Lepisosteus oculatus: one gene and its partner. The protein of the gene in region 1 purifies or fractionates together with the protein of each later gene. This does not show direct contact. Links are inferred from orthologs where the notes say so. Each region holds a gene or a part of one and is shown on either strand. Other genes may lie near its edges. The genes, in order: nfx1 and larp1.

Region 1 (9,995 bases):
AAACCTGAGAGTTTAAAGTTCACAGTTAAGAACATTCCAGGAAGCTGAATTGAGGTGATATCCAAAACTACTGACATGTAATGTTACTATGTAGTGGAAAAAATATGGGTTTGTAGAATACTTTTCTCAGGAAAACTGATTATTTCAATTTTTATTGTGAGATAACTATATCAATATGGCTAAAAACCAAGGTAAATATGTCATGCTAATTGGTTTCCTTTATGCTACACTTAATGAACATTTAACATTTAATAAACATGTTTAAGAAAATGGATGAATAAAAAAATATAATTATTGTATCTTTGATATGCTCCCTGGTACATTCTGAAAGATAACATCTTTCCAAAGACTTCTAACTTCCTATTTCTGTCTCATACTATTCTGCTTTATTTCTAAATTCAGATTCCCATAATGCAACAAGGTTTTTAATACAATTGTGGTTTGAGAAGCAGGATTACTGAAATGTTGCATCCAACAAGTAAGTGTTGCAGATACAATTATTTAGTCTGAATTGTACTTGTATTGTATTGTATCCTTCACTGACTGACTTAGAGTTGCTCCTAGAGATTATGATGTAACAGTCAACATCTTTGTTAACTGAAACAGCCTGTTGGCAGCACATGCTATCAAAAAGCTAACCATTTATTCTCCCAATGTTTTGTTGGCACATGTGTGCACTTAACAACCACCCATTTGCTGATACTGGCAATAGCACAGTCCTGCATGTACCATATGTGATCATCTTTTTTATTGTGGCAATTTCCCTTCTTGTACATAATTAGGTACTTCACTGAAGCTACCCAGGTGTAGTAGACAAAGAAGAAATCGTGTTTCTATCAATCCAGATTTATTTTATATACCTTTCAAGGAAAACCACCCTCAGTTCCATGCCTTATGGAATAAATAAGGTAAATTCATGCCACCAAATTAGAGCAATACCTTTTAAGCAGCTGTTCTCTTAGGCCAGCTGGCAAACATTCAGATTGATGAAAACGTGTAATAGCAGCAGATTCTGGGGATTTTAAAAAGGTGATTTGACAATTAAGTCTAGGACCTGATAGGGTATAGCCTTTCCACCACTTTGACTCTTTTTAAGATGACATAAAAGGAAGGGAAATGACACTTTGATTGCTATGTTTCTTTTGTGTATTATGTGTGAATGGGTGAAATGTGCTAGTTTACCCAAAGTAAATCCTTAATGCAATATAAACTTAATTAGTCTGAGCATTTCATATTGAAAACTCTCACTAGACAGAGATATAAAGGATTAGAATTTATTCTAAGAAAATTAACACTATATCTGCATTATTGACCAGGTCAATTAGGATAGGAACAAGCCATCAGTGAGTTCTGTGTTCATGCAAGAGCTACGCTTGGCAAAAACTGTAAGACATACCATTAAGTATCCACAGCCGCATTTGGGTTCTAATTTTAGTGGAGCAGGAAGCAGGAGGATTCTCACAATATAAATTAATCAGATCTAATTCATGCATAAACGGGCAGCTTGTGAATAATGCATTAAATGCCTTTACACATTCCTCTCTAATTGCAAAGCAACTGGAGATAAAATGTTTAGCGTATTTTTGAAATCACTTTTCAAAAGCATAACGTGGGTGTAAAGGGGCTAGAAATAAAAAAAAACAACAACATGAATAAAGGAATTAAACCACAGTTTGCAGAATAAGAAAATTGATTTCTTTATTACCATTTAAAACCAATGGCAGGGATAACAAACGGTCTGCGGGAACTGCGCTCAGTGTTCAATAGTAAAGCTGTAATGTTCCAGAGGGGGTATCGCCCTGGTGTTGCCCTTACATATACAGGCGTGTTTAGATATTCCATGTGAAAGAAATAATGGAGCCAGCTCCTCAAAAGATACACATGGCTGTTTCTTTGTTGGGTTTGGATGGCTAGGAGAAGCGACTTTAAAATGATTCAAGATTGTATCAGATGTCACAGACGGTATTCACACTGCTTGGTACTGGAGCGCATATGGCCACCATTGCAGGTGGTTCCAGCCGGCTTACCAGCGTGGTGACGTCACCGCCCTTCCCTGTGAATAGCAGGGACTGCAGCCGTTGGACTGAAGGGAGATTTCCCATTAGTTCAAGTGGCTGGGTCCTTGTTGAGTGACACCGGAGGCCTGGGTTTGAGTCCCCAGTGGTGGGGGCCTGGCCTGAGGTGGCAGCGGTGAGGGTGCATACCCACATGAACCTGAGAGCACTACAGTACCAAGTCCATTTCTCACGACTGGGTTTTGAAACCTGCAAATAGTATTCAGCAGAAAGTTGAGTAGTATTCAGCAGAAAGTATTGACAGCGGTCCAGACAGGAACACAGGAGTTATTAGATGACCAGCAGCATCCCTTTATCTATAGGCCTCATCTCATCCTCAATTTTTCTGTGTGACCTACATTTAATAAATTTTACACAGTGTGTTTGTTAATCTGATATTTTGGTCCTGCAACATGGTTTTAATTTTTGGAAGCCTTATCACCATCTTGAAAATGTAACTAGCATCTTTTATATTATTACTAGATAATGGTGCCCTCTGGTGCACAGGCCCAATACATACAGCCAAATTGTACATCACCCACTCAGGAGTTCTGACATTCTAAGTTAATCTGCAAAGAATATCATATCATATACATATCATACAGTATAAATACAGAGTCCCTATCAAATGTAGAAATGAAAATCTTAGGGCTTATCTGTTACAGACATTGTGGCTTAATTGTGACTGATATGGCCAGTTTCTCATCTTATGTTGTTAATACATAGGTGTTCAGCTCCACTTGTGTCATGTTTTGGAATAGCCAAACTCTTCTTCCAGCTGATGTCTGAACACACTTAGCTCCTGTGATGTTTGTACCCACCAGCTGAGTCTTAAGAGTGCAATCAGTGTCTGGATAAAAAATACGGTTGTGTCTAAAGTTAGGTTTAGGCTTGTGTGTGGATTCCCTATATGTCTAGAGTTTTTTTAAGCAGGAGGACTAAGAACACAAAATGACATTCCAGCCTCCATACATGACCTAGATTTTTGTCAATGAAATCTCCAAGCAGCATTGCTGTGTTTCTTGGAGAATAATACATGTTGCCCTTTTTTCAGCCATCTTCAAAAATCTTTTTCTTCACCTTAAAAATACAACTGGAATTCTGTTTAGTTTTTAATTTGTGGCCTGTTTAAACACTTTTAAAATTGTAATGATTATACTGACTAACAAATATTACCTAACGTATCCCTATGTCAGTTTATCTGGGCTTTAGAGACTTCAACTATCCCTAGATTAATCATAACCCTTATCAAAATACCATTTCAAAACTGAATTTATCTTTTGTCCAAAATGTTATTTTAAGAAGCAAAATATTACCTAACGTATCCCTATGTCAGTTTATCTGGGCTTTAGAGACTTCAACTATCCCTAGATCAGCTAACTTTAAATCTCTCCCTAATGGAGGTCTACACATAGAAAAGCAGTGTTTTTTTTTCCAAAGCTTTAGGGTTCAATTAAACAAACAATTACATGTGTATCGAGTACATTTGAATAATGGTGGTCTTGGACTTCAGTATACAGGTGTAAGTATCAGTGGATCATTCTTCTAATCCAACCTTGTCTCTGTTATCCTATTCAGAAAGTGAGTTAAATGCTTGCTGTGAACAAATATGAGGGGGAGCGGTACTGTATAATATCACTCTGTAACAATCCAGGCACACCCATTACATCATTCTATGACTTCATCTGAAGCTCTACATCACTTTTAACTGTAACCCAGTCCCAGTCTTTCAAATGCTTCAAACTCAGAACCCAGATGACACACTCCCCAGAAGAGATCTATTTTCTTTGAATATTCCATTCCTGTTCTTACATGAACAGTCCATTCAACCAGAAATTCCTTGATCCATTTGATTATACAGTATACAGTATGCTTTTATTCCTAAATTGTTCAATTTCATTAGAAGTTCCTCTTCTCATTAAAGTGTCATAAGTCTTTATTGATAAAAAACTGCCACCTAAGAAAAGTTTTTTTTTATTCAGCCCTTTAATCTAAAATGTTCTCCTTTTCCCAAACCCACTTTAATGTGAAAAAAATGATGACTTTACAAAAAAAGACCTCCTAACCACAATTTTTCCTATTAACTTGCATGCATTTGTTGCCAATGCAATAGGACAGTTGATTTGACTATAACACACCGATTTCCATACTATATTAAACTGACAAAACGTATATAGTACACCATCTCATCTTGCATGTGAAAACATTTTGTATGATCTTGATCCTTACTAGGAGATGTTTTTAGAAATAATAATTTATAGATCTAAGATATAATTTAGTATTAACTACAACTGTTAACCTTACTTAATAATTTTGTTAATGAGTTAGCTTTTTCTAAATTTGTTTTATCAATATCTAAACCTTTTAGTTAATTTTCTCTTATTCTTAATTTTCTTAATTCGTAATTCAGGAATATTCTTAAATTTACCTACACCATTTATTATCTAAATTTAAACCCCAAAACATCAACCACAGTATTTTCCTGAAGAATCACAATAATTTATTTTCTTTTATGTCTTTTATTGCATGTTTAATAACCCGTTGAGCAAAGGCTTTCTCATTTTTACACTACATAACTCTCTCTAATGTCAGGTTATGCACGTCGCATCCTTTCTTTATTGTCAAAGCACAGACTTCATTCCTTCAGGGTAGAAATCCGTTTCCTGTATGATCGATATAACTGCAGGTTGTGTAACTGCATCACTTACTGCTGCCGCTATCCATATCCACGTCTGTCTTAAACAGAATTACGTTAACACTCCTCGGAAAGAGTCCAAGAAGCCTACAGTATTTAAAAGCTGTCAGAGGCCCCAGTCCTATCAATAAAGTTTAGGTTGATGCAATCACAGTGAGCATGCGCAGAGGTTTGTTGTGTTGCGGGGATAGGAAGTTTGTAGGCCGGGTTCATCTATTATGTAAAACCTCAAGAAAAGAAGACGTTGTTACATATCAGCAGAAAAAAACATACTTTACGCTCCATTGGGCTTTAAATGGCTGAATCTCTAGAAGGTATTTCATTTAAACTTTTTATTAGCTACCATGTTACTCTATGCTAGGTTATTTTTTATAATCAAATTTAGTCTTTACTATATTGGCTTCAGAGCTATCAGTAATGCTTTTGAGGTATTATTGCTACTGCTTATAGTAATAATGTCCGATTTGACATGTAGAACCAAACGGGATGTGTACATGTCGACTTGTTGTCGTGGGACCAAGTCAGCGATGTGACAGATCATGCTGTTGGTCAGCTCACCACATGGTTGCCTGTGTGACCTCGTAAAACACGGTGACAAAACCTTTTTTTCCCCCAGAATAAATTATCTATTAAAATTAATTCAGATTTTTTTGTGTGATTTATTAAACTGCAAGATTCTGAAAAGCCTGCTTCGTTTGTAGATATATTACCTAGTGTCTAAACATTATCATAGCTGGGTCAGAGTCCAGAAACATATTTGGTTCATAGTTACACTGAAAAGTCAAACCTACTAACTTTGTACTGAAGGAAAAAATGACACATTCGTTTTATATAAACGCTGAGAGATGAGGTACCTTATAAATAAACCTTGGAAATCCACGTTTGTGCTCTACACACAATAACGTATATTCCCAATTTTTAAACTAACGTCAGTACTTTTTGCAGACATAACCCTACTGCAGATTATTACAGAAGTACAGAAAATGTTTCTCTCCGTTGTCCCTGTATAAGATTGTGATGTGCTTTTAGAAAAATGCTGATCTGTGCTTAAGTTTCCATTTTTGTTCCCCCAGGGGAACTGGATTTGAATCCAGATGCAGCTGATTTTGTGCCTGAAGAAAGACACAAGCAGAAGTCAAGGAGGGAGAACCCAAAGTCAGAGCACAACAGAAACAGGAGTGGTCACTACGCAGGTCCTCGATCGCAGCATTATAACAGGCCATATCACAGTAACAGGCCTTGGCATGAACATGACTCCCGGAAGAGCCACAGTCCTTCTCAGGACCATGCGGAGCGGGGAGAAGGCAGTAGAGGAGCTAGAAGCCACAGCTTTCAGGCACAGAGATGGCAAAAGCCCGGAAGTACAAGGAATCTTCCAGCAGATAACCCTGACCCCTCTGGGGGCAACAGGACAGAGTCTTCCACTGAAGTGTCTGGAATTGGTGGGTCAAACTGGAAGACGGAGAACCAGAGGGACAATTATTTCTACAATGGCCCTCTTTCCCAAGAGGAGATGAGAGATGTAAGGCCCAAAAAGACAAACAAGTTTGCTGCTGCTGAGCCCAGGAGGGGGGCAACCGAGAGGGGAAGACGGGCTTTTGTCGGGGAGACCCGGACTGCGGAGGACTGGTCCAGCACGGTGTCCACAGATGCTGGTAAAGAAGTTGATGGGAAGGGTCAGAGGACGGGGGAAAGGTATCGGGACCACAGCATGAAGAAGAACTCCCCGAGGCACAGACAAGAGCACGAGGAGGAGACCTTTAGAAGACCAGCCTCCTACAGGAGCCTGGCAGGCAAACCCCACGCGGCTTCCTTCAGCACGTCAGAGGGGTTGAGCGCTTCCCGGTGTCCAGAGGAGCCCAGCTGGAGGAGCGAGAGGGGACACGGCAAGCGTTTTCCACTCCAAGACCGTGGTCCGAAGAAACCTCAAAAGGCGGACAGGAGGCCTGTTTATAAAACGCAGGTGGACATGCCCAAGAGCAAGGAAACGCAGACAGGTGTGCCACTATGGTCATTTGTGTTTATTTCATTTTCCATATCTGATATCTGATAACATGAACTGATAACATGAAAATTAGCCTCTTATCATGAAGTATTTCTCTACATGTGTTTCACTGCCCTGCCAGTGTTTGGTTGGGATACTCGAAGCTACGTATCCATATTGTCAAATGCAGACAACAGTTCTAAAATGAGAAGAAATGCTTTTTTTTTGATTCCATTAAAATGCTAAGCATCTGTTTGCTTACAAAATCAAAAGAGCGGATGGAATAGAGTCTTCCTGACCACTTTCTCTGTGACCCTTAGCATTTTGGAGAATAAAGCGATGCAAATGAATGTGTTCAAAAGTCAGTTTGGGTGTCAGGCAGGTGATGTCTGGAAAGCTACTGCATATGTATTTGAGAGTGATCCCTTTAATAACCCGTATTCATCAGCTGTGGCATTGTCTGGCCCTGATCAGATGACTTCTCAGCATTAGCTCAAAGGAACCGAGTTTGACAGGTGGCGTTACGCAAGTTTTTAAGATGGTATTTGAGTTCTGTGGATCATTGTGCTTTCCCTCTCCCTCTTGGGGCAGGCTGCTTGATCGAACAGCTCACAGAGGAGAAGTACGAATGCATGGTCTGCTGTGAGGTGATCCGGTTGATGGCTCCAGTGTGGAGCTGCCAGAGTTGCTACCACGTCTTCCATCTCAACTGTATTAAAAAGTGGGCCAGGTCCCCAGCCTCTCAGGCAGAGGGTAAGTTTGGTCCTGGGGCTAGGGGACTAATTTTTTGTATCTTCCTGAGTAAAATCAAACCCTGCCTGCTACATTTAAATCACACTGCCTTGGGAAGTGTTGTGCAGATTTCATACAAATATTATTCAGATGGCTTTAAGGAAGGACATCAAATCCCATGACTAAACATTTTAGTAAAACATGATCTCACAATACACCCTCCTGAATGTATTGTATTGATTTATGTGGAGTCATGTTTATTGAAACATTAAATTAAGATCAAATCAATTTAATTAGACGTTAGAATAGCAGATTTTTAAAAGTGTTCTGTGTTTCAATCATGTAAAAACCAAAAAACCACAAATGACAGCCTTTGTAAATTGTATTTTTTCCCCATGGACATTTTCCCATTGATTTCTTAACCTGATTTTCACTGTCTGTGGAGGGTTCTAGATTGGCAGTTTTGAGAACAGTGACAGTGGGCGGGGAATGGTTAGCTAGGATTCAGTCATCTGCCGGGGTCCCAGTCTCTCCATCCGAGAGCATGTACAGTATTTAGCAAGGTCATGTAGAAACGGCCCTACCTGTAGTCTTTCTTCTGTGGGCGTCAGTTGATTGAGGTTGACAGATAAAAAGAAGAGAGTATAGCCGTACGATGATCATACTTTATTTCTCACCAGTTTTGGTTCCGTTTACAATAAGTAACATGATTGGACTTCATAACTTCTTTTTAAAAAAATCAAGATGTGCAATTTATCAAGTAGTTGCAACTTTTTTTGTTTTCCTTTTTTAAACCCACACTAATCAGTGTGCATTATGTGCTTGCCTTCACTGTATTGCATGTGCCATATTTTACTAACATAATTCTCAGTGTACTTAATGATGTGATTGAGTAAACCTTGTGTGGCTCTATTTCCAGATGGGAATGAAGGGTGGAGGTGTCCTGCCTGCCAAAATGTAGCATCTCGTGTACCAAACTCTTACGCCTGCTTTTGTGGTAAGTGAAATTTTCTGTTATCTTCTAAAATACCTTGGAGAACTTCATAAATTACCATTCTACATTGTGCATAATTGTGCATGTTTCTTCAGGATTATTTTTCATGGTAGTGGATGCACAAATTTCTTGTTTTTGTAACTTTTCTTTCCCAAATTGGCCATTGCGTTTTACATGCATTATACTGTTGTTTGATTGTTATTACAGTGGAATTCCACCTTTAAAATAAAAGCTGAAGTGTCAAACGGGGGACAGCGATAGAAGCATTCAGCAACAAGGGTCACTGCCAGAAAGCTGAGGATCACCTGGTGGTCAAAATCTAGACAAATGTCACAAATATTTATTTTTCCATTTTGTTCTGGGGAATTAGGGCCAAAGTCTGAAACTTGCTTTCTGGATTGAACATTAATGAGCCACACCCAGAGAAGGATACACAACTGAAAAAATGTTTTTCTTCTCCTTTTAGCATGGAATAAACCTTTACTTGTTCCTTTGCAGCTTATGCATGCTGACACAGCTACCTGAACTACTTAAAGAGCTTTAGGTTGTAGAACCACTCCTGCATTTTGGGAGATATTGTATTGTAAAGTCGATCAGGAGATGTGTAGAGGATTGTATTGCTCCTTATAATGATTTGTGTTTCATTAACAAAAAAAATAATTTATATGCTTTCAATTTAATTTTTAAGGCAAGGTTAATAACCCTGAGTGGCACAGAAATGAGATTCCACACAGTTGTGGAGAGCTGTGTGGTAAAAAGCGATCTGCTTTGGACTGCCCCCACCCCTGCAACATGTGAGTAACAAAATATATTGTTTCTATGAATTTACAATTGTTAGTTATTTTTTCTGTATACCCCACCATTTTAGAATTGTGAACTGTGCCTTGATGTCATTTCTCACAGCAGTAATTCCTGCTGTTTAATAATGTTTTCAAATGTTGTTTTTTTTTCTACAGTTTGTGCCACCCAGGACCATGCCCGTTATGTCCTGCTTTTATAACCAAATCTTGTGTCTGTGGAAGAACAAGGTAAAAGGCATTCTTTCATTGACTGTGTATTTCCAGTTAGCAACACGCACAAAGGAATTCTTTGAGTCAGTTTTCAGGCTTCCGTATGAACACGCAAAACTTGTAAGGAAATATTTTGTACTATAATGTTGATTTACTAACACTCTTTTGTAGTTGTAATTCTCACCCAATTAAAAAAATGAGCAAAAGATACATTATCTCACAAACCCTTGGCTACAAGCATTACTTGTATCCAAGAAAACGTTCTGGAATGAGTCTAACCCCTCTTTCTTCCCCAGTCAACCTGTGCGCTGTGGCCAGTCCTCTGCAGTGCTCTGTTCTGAGGTGTGTGAAGAACTACTGAACTGTGGGAAGCACACCTGCACCCAAGTATGCCATGCTGGGAACTGCCCTCCATGCCAGCTTCAGGTCACACAAGGTAAGCGGGCAGTGTTCCTGGGAGCTACTCGTGGTTTTCACAGATCGGGAAGCTAAATGGCAGATCGCAAAAGATTTTAGGTTTGATATG
Region 2 (10,148 bases), on another chromosome or scaffold:
GCTTCTCCATTGAGGGTGGACATGCTCAGAGGAGAGATTATACCGAGAAGAAATGCTTTAGACAGCTGTCTTCGATAACAGGAGTCTCCTGTCCATGTTTATTTGTTCTGGAGTTTGGGATTTGTTTTATTCTTGAGCCTGTGCATCACTTGCAGTTCTCTGCTAGCAGTTCCTCCTTCTGGGAAGCAGTGCCTTGGAGATTTTAGAGCAACGCTGTGCAGAAGACATTTAGAACTTCACTTCATTAAATCTCCATAATGCAAAACAAGAAGCATGATTTTTCTATTCTGCCCAGGAATTTGATTACATTTTACCTTTTATGACATAGGCCATTTTGCTTTGTAAAAAATGTTTTGTAATACTGATGATCAATATCAATTCTTTCCTCACAGCCCTGTTATCTTGCTTCTAACTCCCTCTTTTGTATTCGAATGAACAGAAGTTAATCGTATACTACAAACAAAACAAGATCTGCACTTGCCTGCTTTGTGTACATTAATTTTTAACGGGCTCATCAAACCCAAAGTGTTCTCCCGGAACACCCCATCAATGAGCAGAGAGAAGGCGAGATGATATTGAGATACGAAACTGTGAAAGAGAACTTGCACAACGTCAGTGTACTCAATAAACCTTGAAACATTAACAGTTATTCTTTAAAGACACCAAACAACCAAAACAGGCTTACATGTATTTCTCTGGCTGAAGCTTTTTATTTGAAGCAACTTAGTTTTGCACTCATTTACGCAGCTGGGTGTTTTCCTGGAACAGTGTGGGTGAGGTACTGTACCCCAGTCAAGGGTACAACAGCGGTGTCTCACCTGGGTCTTGAACCCACAACCTTCCAGTTACAGTCCAGAACCCTGCCCACTGCTCCACACATCTGCCCCATTCCTACTGCAGCACACAACCACGCTGACGCTGGTACGTCTAAACAGGACACTGCATCTGACACTACACACGCCACTACGTTCAGCTTCAAGGACTAAGGAATCATACACTGCAGGGTTTTAAAAGTACATTAAATAACACTTATCTGTCAATATACTTTCAGCATAGTCTTTCAAACTTTCTTACAATAAAACTAGACCAGGCCCATGCTTCTCTACTGTCTGCAAACTGGGTAAACCTGGATTCAGGGGCTAACGAGCGCTGCTCCAGCATCCAGGAAAGCGTGGCAGCGTGTTGCCTGCTGTTGTCACCCAGCATTGCTGCACTGCAGACGAGCCTCTTACTGTCAGCGCACAGGCTGTGCGAGGACTCGGCTTCGGGTTCTTTAAAACTAAGAACAGTCATCACAGGCTTCCACCATCAACAGGCCACGTGCCCTCTACCCCAGCCTTTAGGAACTGGGCATCCCTCCAGTTTCAAGGAGTACCTATGGTGCATCATAAAGGCAAATCTCACCACTTATAGCAACTATTCAGAAACACTCGTCCACTACACACATACAAGGCTCTGTCGAACTCAAAGCAGATGTATGACCTGCCACTGACACAAAAACACCCCCTACACGCATCGAGCAGATCAAATATTACACTTTCAAAGAAATTCTGAAAAATCAAGCTCTCGGTTCTCTTCCAGTCTCTACTTACAAAAGCCAAGGAGAGCCCCCGCACAGCAGTCAGTGAGCAAAAGTCACAAAGCACTGTTTATTGCTCTTGTGTCCATACAGCCTTTTGCTTGGCACACAACACCTGACATTCTCACACGTGTCTCACCTTTCACACAACAGAGGACCGTGACCTTGGATAACACGTTTTAAGATATTAGCCTTAATATTAACCAGGGAGGCAAATGTACTAAAAGTCGGTTTTCATTTCCTTTTTCATTCCCAGGCCTTTGAAAAACCATAGATGTTGTAACCCTGTTACTTTAACCTTTTAAAAGAGAAACAAAAACAATACTGATCCCCAAACCAGCTCTCTCAAATAAGAGGTGTTGTTCACCTGTGGACTTCCCGGTCAAAGTTCACTCAAATTACAGAGTGACTGGATGTTACAGGTCTTAAACTGGGGGAAGAAACTCGTCCCTTTATTTTCGCAAAGAACGAAAAACACTGGAGTTTTCTCCTCTACCTCTACAGTGCAAACAGCTTTATCTCCCTGAGCAAACACGCGTTATTTACTCTACCTCAATGAACTTATTTTTATTTAAAAAAAAACAACTTTTATAACAGACTTGTTGGTGGTGGGGGGGGGACCGAGACACGAAAGCAGCCAGCACGGGCTGTGTGCCTTCCACGGCTAATGACCACGACCCCGGGAGTGAAGTGAAGTGAAGAGCACGGTTCAAAGGAAGCTGCTCTGAAGGCAGTCCGGAACAAACCCGTCCGCCTAACCTGCAGCAGCTGCGCAAGAAGCCACGCTTCCCCTCGCCTCACCACGGCCGGCGGGGGGGGGAGGGGATAACGGCGCTGCTCTCCGTTCAGACAGCTGCTTCGCCGGCCCGTCCCCGCCCCGCCCTGTCAAACTCAAGCGACCCCGGGCCCCACGGAGCCCGAACCGAGCCCCCCCAGGAGACGAGCCCGGCCGCGGCGCAGCGCCCATGAGATCACGTGTTTCCAGAGGAAGACACCACGTTGCCGACGGGCGGGGGGAATTCTGGGTAACGCGGACGAGCCTAGCAACGCTCTGCCTTAGTTTCCAGAGCACCCCGACCCCCACAGCCCCCGGAGAGGGGCACCCCTGCCGCAACACGGCTGGAAACTATCGGGGGATAAAATACAAGTCACCTTTTCCTAGATCTGAGCCTCGAAACACGCTGGTTCCTTCGGGTTTTTTTTTTGCAGGAGGGTTTGGGGAAGGGGGGGTGGGCGAGACTCGTCCCTGTTACAATCACCGCCTTAACTGCGTGGCCAGTGGGGTTGCTCTAAAGTTAAAACAATCGCTTTACCTCCCTGAAATAAAAAAAAATAAAAGACTTTGAAAACAAAACGGTTTTCCTTTCAATTTCGTGCCACCCTCACGTTCTCACACGGGTAAAAACGAACAAAAACCAAAGGAAATGCTACCGCCCAAGCTCTGGGCCATCTGTCTGAAATAGGTATAACAATTAAAAAAAGAGACACGGGGGGACAGCAGCGCCGACTGAGCGATGCCCCCCCATTCCGCTCGTGTACTCGGGGAACCAGGAAAAGCCACGAGTGACTAAAACGTGAACCACATGTAAATCACATGGATTTCCAGCTTTTTTGCCAATAACCCCGCATGTTTCGGATGCTTCAAGAGCCGAGGCAGGGCTATATATATATATAAAGCCAAGCCCGACGCAAAAACCAGCCCTCCCCACAACATATGCTAATCATAGGCGTTGGTGCGGCGCACGGTGTGCCCTCGGTGCGACCAGCCCACTCCCTGGCACACAGCGGAGAGCCGGCCGCCGGCGTGCAAACCCCCCCCAAAACGCATCGCCGCACCGCTGCCAGTCCGCAGGCCCTCGCCGGGGCTCCCTTTGCACGAAATGCGCCCTCCCGGCCGCACGCAGCCCCGAAACACGATCCCGGCCGCCGCAGACGCGACCTCTGCTGCGCCCCGCACCGTCTGCTGGGGCAGGCCAGACCGCACACCCCCCTCTCTCCCCCACAGCGGCTCCGGGGCCTGCACCCAGGGCTGCCCGGGGGGACCTGCGCCCCCTGCGGGCTGGCCTTCGGGGGGAGGGCCCCCGCTGCCATCCGTCCGGGCCAGCTGCACCCCGCCACGGCACTCGAAAGCAACAAGCGAAGCGTTGGAAAAGATGTTAGGAGGTACACACCATGATGTGCTTGTCCATTCACACTGACCACGGTCACCGTGTTCATTTTCTTAGTCCATGGGTTCACCTTGGGAGGGGGCGCCTCAGTGAACTCCTTTTTGGTGCATTTCGGGCCTTCCTCCTCCGGGGTGACCCCGTCTTTCGGGGCAGCCCCGGCTTCCCTGCGCAGGCTCTCCTGCTCCTGCGCGTTGCTCTCGTCCTTCGCCTGCTTCGGGCTCGGCTCCTGAGCGGCCATGCCTGCCGGACCCGGCTCGCCTCGCCTCACGCCGCCGTCCGCCCCGGGCTCCGGGCACTCGCCGCCGTGCCCGTGCTCCTCCGGCTTCAGCAGGGGGTTGCCGGGCAGGAGGGTCTCCACCTGAGTGGCCATTTCCCCCTTCTTCTCGCTACCCCGCAAGCCCTTCTACAACTGGCGAGAGAAAACGCGAACTGTGCGCCCCCGATCCGGCTCGTCTCACTCTTCTCTCCACTCCACCCCTAGACCAAATATCCTTCAGTCTAAGACGCAGAGTGGCCACTTGCGGATTAAAACACAAAATCCCTCCGAGCGCCTGTTTAAAACCCCCGATGTCGCTGGTCTCCCTTACTAGCAGCAATATGGAAGCACACCACGCGATCGACGGCGGCGCGCACGCACGCCAGGGGGAGTGACGACGCAGCCAGGCGCGCGACCCGGAGCCGGGTCGATGACGTCAGCCTCTTAAAGAGGCAGCCCGTTATGAACTGGCTGCCAATCAGTCCTAGTTCGATAAGTCGAAAGCCCACTGTTTCTAAAGCAGTTTGTTTTGTTTTTTCCTTTGCGGTGTGAAACACGCTTGGTGTTCTCGGGCTGTTCAAAACAAAAAAGTCATAGGAACTCTGAAAATGTGCTTTCATACGGTTCCAGATGCAATTGTATTCCTAATGAGTTTAAACACATTTCACATTTTTTTAAATGTCCATTTAAGGGAATGTCCTCCACTAACGGGCTGGAAGAACTCCACCTTGTTAGTTTTGACGCTGCACAGAGGATCAGGTGGAAAAGTGAGAATCTGCCTCTGGATCTGTACTCAGTTTCGCATCTCATCCCCGGGACAGCACCCCAACAGCACAGGGTCCCTGGCCACGATATGGGGGCAGAGCACCTCCTACTGGTCCACCAGCACACCCACCCCGCCAGGACAGATGCAAGCTGGTTTTCCTCACGGGTCTCCGGTCCCTGTGCTGGCCAGGCCCTGACGAGAGCAAAGCAGCGCCTGTCCATCTGCCAGTTTGATCAAATGCGGTGACGCGTGGGACTGGATTTAACCACAGCGTTTTGGTCTAAAACACACATTGCAGCGGCCACAGGATGGGGAGACAGGAGAGGGGGCTGCTGCCAGGGTCCGGTGGGTGTCCAGACATGTTCCATGGGGCCATTATTAATTCTTGCCCTAGCTGCTGTACTGCAGCGTTGATAGTCTGCATGTCAGAAAACCTGCTTAAGACTCCGAGTGCACCGTGCGGTATTTGCAGATGGTCCCTAAGCTGCCCCCGGCCATGCTTGAGGGACACGGGCAGCAGCCTGTGCGGAGTCCAGGAAGCAAGGCTGTCTCCTCTTCCTGCACGCTGCGCACCGCCGCGAGGCGGAGCAGGGAACTGCAGGCGAAGAGGAACTTCCGCTTCCGGTTCCGGGCGACGTCTCCGCCCTCCGGTTCATGTGAGCCAACCACCGCTGTCATTGCACAATGTAAACCCAGTAAATTAATAAGATTCATTTAAAAAGTTTTTAGATTAAATTAGCGCTCTGGTCATCTGCAGGAATGATAATGAATTAGCCGGATTCACAGCAAGCTAAAGGAAACCCCACCGAATTACAGAGGCACAACTACTTAATTTGTTATTTATAATGTTTAATATTAGCTTAAACCACAAATATTAATATGCACCAAGAAAAAAACCCCTCCGGAGTGGAGTGCACGGTAACCTCATCTCATCAGATCCGCGAAAAGCAAAGTTACAGCGGTTCTTCCGTCTCTTTGAATGATACGCCTCCCTGATACCAGAACACATATCTGACCATAAATACCATAAAAAAACATTTCCCCAAGGCACATTCCTGGGGCTCCCGGCATGACAGCGGGAGAAGGGTTTGGAGTCGTGTGTGCAGAGAAGCGGCGGGTCCTCGGCTCGGACATGCCTGTCGGACTCCGTGTTTGTGTCCCGACAGAGAAACGTGCTGAGTCAGCTGCCACTCGCCTGCTGTTTTCATAACGGCTCCGTTATTTATCCTTTTCGGGGCTGTAAACAGTTTTTTTTTTGCAGTGAATAAAGAAAGAGATGTAGGAATACGATGGGCATCGAGTTCTTATATACTTACGGCCGAATTCTCCCATCTGTTTTCCGCTGAGAGGTAAATACATTGGACAGTTGAGCTCATTGAACTGGGAGGGTCTCCCTGTGTCCCAGTGCTGCGACCCTGCAGACAGTCCCCGACCCTGCGGGGTGTGAACCAGCAGCGCTGGAGCCCCCTGCTCATCTGTCCTAAAGGCCAGTGGAGCTCCAGCATGGAAGACACCCCTGATCCATGGGACCTGACACGCCGTCCCACAGGTGAATAAATCTGGTAGGATCGGAGCTGGTGTCAGCACTGGCTGGGTGAGCCCAGGCCCAGTGGAACAATCAGAACCCTCCTTGCTCTCTTCTCCACTCCTCCTACACCCTGCTGTGCGAGCGTGCGGCTCCGAGACAGCGCACTCTCGAGCTGGCTGTGGGCCGCCGGAGCTGGGCGGGGCTGATCGGGGTCAGACGGGCCCTGACCTTTCTGCTCGGGACTGACCCAGCCTCGGCTCAATTCTGGACCTGGGGTGCTGTCTGTGTGGAGTTTGTAGATCAAAAACTACATATTGGTAGTTTAACTGGGTTCTGGGAAACTGTCCCTGGTGTGAGTGTGTGTCTGTGTGTGCCCAGTGATCCATTAACCCATCCATCTACCCAGACATCCCGTCCAGGGTAGAACCCGCCTTGTGCCTGTTGCTTGCCTGAGTGGACTCTGACTGCCCTGTGACTCTGAATTGGATAAAACAGATAGAAAATGGATGGACATTGCTAATGATTGAAAGAATGGTATCACAGAAAAGGAGGCTTTATTAAAACAAAGTGAACAGCTTTTCCTTAGTGCACAGAGCTGATGTGTGTGCAGCACAACACTGAGCACAAAATGGAGCAAACACAAACACGAAGGGACCTTGTAGTCAGGCCTAGCGCTTCATGGAGTGCCAGATTTATTTCCTCAGGTAGCAGGCTTAGCTTATACCACACGTGTGAAAGTGTTGTGGGGCAGTAGGGAAGGAGTTTCCAGCACTCCTGTGGTTTTAACGCGCTCGGGCTCTGTGCTTTGTAAGCGTGAAATAGGCTCAGCTGGAATAGACAGCCTTGCAAGGACACTTTGTCGTAGGCTGAGAGGACGTTCCGTTGTCCGCTTCATCTGTCTCGGTTTTCTGTCCTTCTGCCTCCATGGTGTCCACCCAACTGTTGAAGACGTCCACCTCCACAAGGGAACTGTCCATGGTTCCCTCGAGCTGCTCTTGCAGCTGCCTGTCTACCCTTTCAGCCTCTAACAAGAGACTCCTGTCCCATCCAACAGGCCTGTACACAATGCGCAGTGGAGCTCATGCCTGTGAGCCGCTGTAGCTGCGCCAGATAAGGGGACGAAGATGTCTGTCTCACTGCTGATTACAGCTTTCAGGACGAGCAGGGTGGTGAAAGATAAACGGTGGCTGAACGTAAGCTGTGACCGAACTTAAAAACCACAGACAACTGAATGTGAAAACCAGGTGCGAAATTTTAAAAGGGTATTTTCCAAATCTCCAGCTATAGCACTCCCATTTGGTGGAGAGTTTATTTTAGATCTTGGTCGCCTGATCTACGTGGTCACCTGGTCTCTTGGTCTCATCTCTCAGGGTGCAGTATATTTACACAGCACAGTTAAACACATCAGAGCTTACAGGGGCTGGCCATGCGCACACAGGGGCTGTGACCGAGGGCGAAGCCCACTCTGTCCGACAACAGCTGCGCACCCCCTGCATGTCCGCCCCAGGGTGCTGTTCTTTACCCCCGCGAAGCAATCAGCAGCACAGTGAAGACGCAGGGTGATGCCGACCCAGTCACTGACACACGGGGGAATTCCCTGACCCTTTTCTTCGTCTACCGTGATAGTGCATTTCAAGAAAACAAGAAAACGCGATCCCTACAGGTTGAACAGCTCCGAATGTCCGACGAATTTCCACCATGGCAGCCCCAGCCATTCTGAAATAACTTTGCTCCAAAGCAGACACACGAAGAGGTGCTCATATGCACACAAATGTGCACGAGTACACACACACACAGACACACACACACACACGGCCTTTTCTGTAGCCCCTGTTGTTGCACAGGGGTAAATACTCTGATACCCCGACTAGCTGCAGAATCCCTTTCTTTGTGCACAATGACATCAGTGCCATGTAAAGCTCTTTGGCATTGTCCACCCCGCTGGAGCCCTTTAGTAATGCAATCGCCAGTTGAATAAGTGCAGGAGACAGGGGACAAAACTCGCAGTCAGCAGCTGGTCAGCAGATCCCACACGTGGGATGTGCACAGTAAGCACCAGGCTGCAGCGGAGCCTCGGAGCTGCTGGCCACCCTGACAGAGAGAGACAGAGACCGGAGGGGCGCCTGTTCCGGCGGCTGGGAGTTCAGGAATAACCGCGCAAATACTGGCGGATATGCAGAGCTGTACCACCCAGGCTTTGTCGGCGGCGGTTTCTTTGTTGTTTGCGAAGCACCAGATACCGTCCAGGAAGAAAGCCCCTCCACAGGGTTTCACACAGCTGAGTCCCGACCGGTGAAAAAGGACACATCCGATACAGGGGCCGGTCTCCTGTCCCCCCCCCCCCACAGGCACAGCCACAAGGAGCCTGCCCCTCTCACCTGGGGGTCCCCAGGCCAGCGCCCCCCCTGGTTGCCCCCTCACACTCATATGAATGATTCTGGAGTCAGAGCTACACCAGAGGGGATTCATGGGGAACGAGGGACAAGCACACACTACACTCAGAATCGCAGGCCGATTAAGTGGATCATTAGTTTACTGGCAGTCAATCAAGCTGCTTGGAGCTCCGCTCATTTATAATGCCCACGTTCTTTTCCCAAATTCATACCACCACTTTCCGATGGATGTTGTACAAGACAAGAAACAAATCAGTTAGGCTCAAATCTCCAACGTGCATAAGCACTACACAGACGTAGGCCTGGTTCCCTTTTTGAGTCAACGTGCAGTCTCTGAATGATCCCAGTTCGTTTTACATGCTAGGGGGATAAACACATGGGCTGCCAGTGTCAGCAGCAGCTGAAATGGGCTGTGGGACTTGTATTGTATTAAGATGCATCACTTGGGTAGGTTATTTTTTGGCCCAAGTGGATCAAGCAGTGGAGACTCTTCTGGGAGCAGGCTGGGCTCAATGATCCAGACATTCCCAGTATTCGTCTGGTCACTCCGGCAGCCCCAGAGACCGGGAATCTCCAGGAGGCAGCACGCGGTGGGGTCTGCCCCACTTGTGGTAGGACCAAAGTTTACTACTGCAATACTAGTCCCTGCAATTTCCCAGCTATGCCCCATAATGACTTGTGATGACATCAGCATTGCTCCTCCAATCAGTGCTGAGCCTCCTGTATGTCACTTCGGAGCTTGTAGCTGTGGACGACTGTCTCAGTGGGTGTGCAGGGCAATGCTTGCACTTCCTTCCTTTCATTGTGTACAACATGGGCAACCGCCCTTATTTTATCCCCAAGGATATCAGGGAGTCACCTATGCTGAGTGCATTTAAATCTCAACTCAGAACCATTCTGTTCAGAAAGGCTTTTATGTCATTGGCGTCTGTGTCTGCTGCACTTTCTAAGGACCTTGTAACCACTTGTGTCTCTTATATGTGCTTATGCTACTCTTTAAAGACTGTATCTGAAATGAAGTTTCATCTTATTATTATTACCTGAAAAACCTCCACTTCTGTAAATATGTTATTAGTCCTTTAGCAATGAAGTATTTCCTTTTAGATAAGTGTGGTACAGCTCCCGAATAGCTGCAGTAAAACCCAACAACAGTAACAAGCCAATATTCGACAGCAAGTCGAAGTCGAGTATCTGGAGCTGCCTGGTTTACCCACAACAGCCGGGAAGTGATTCCTGCATTCCAGATCAGCCTTCCTGTATCACACTCACCTACACTGCTGTTCGCTGTGTTTCCGCATGGACCAGATCTTCCCTAAAGGCTGAGCAACGCCTTGAAGGAGCACAACCTGCTTTCGTGTCACATTTCAGGAGGAAGGGCCTTCCTGTCACAGCCCTGACCCTCCCTCTCTGCACAGTGCAGAAATCTTAGAAACGTGCTCGTTCTTGCCTGGTATGTAG

The links.
Region 2: the proteins of nfx1 (region 1) and larp1 purify together in Homo sapiens (affinity purification with mass spectrometry, with the first as the bait; 3 studies listed by BioGRID). This does not show direct contact. The link is inferred for Lepisosteus oculatus from reciprocal best matches to the Homo sapiens genes NFX1 and LARP1.

The regions. Positions count from the first base shown.
Region 1 is NC_090701.1:21,635,099-21,645,093, forward strand, and holds the start of nfx1 (transcriptional repressor NF-X1), read left to right. Parts: upstream 1-4,902; 5' UTR 4,903-5,044; coding exon 5,045-5,063; intron 5,064-5,822; coding exon 5,823-6,746; intron 6,747-7,324; coding exon 7,325-7,486; intron 7,487-8,384; coding exon 8,385-8,462; intron 8,463-9,147; coding exon 9,148-9,253; intron 9,254-9,415; coding exon 9,416-9,487; intron 9,488-9,765; coding exon 9,766-9,905; intron 9,906-9,995. UniProt on the Homo sapiens protein: Binds to the X-box motif of MHC class II genes and represses their expression. May play an important role in regulating the duration of an inflammatory response by limiting the period in which MHC class II molecules are induced by interferon-gamma.
Region 2 is NC_090706.1:40,897,537-40,907,684, reverse strand, and holds the start of larp1 (la-related protein 1), read right to left. Parts: upstream 4,378-10,148; 5' UTR 4,118-4,377; coding exon 3,751-4,117; intron 2,562-3,750; exon of another isoform or gene 2,547-2,561; coding exon of another isoform or gene 2,339-2,546; intron 1-2,338. UniProt on the Homo sapiens protein: RNA-binding protein that regulates the translation of specific target mRNA species downstream of the mTORC1 complex, in function of growth signals and nutrient availability.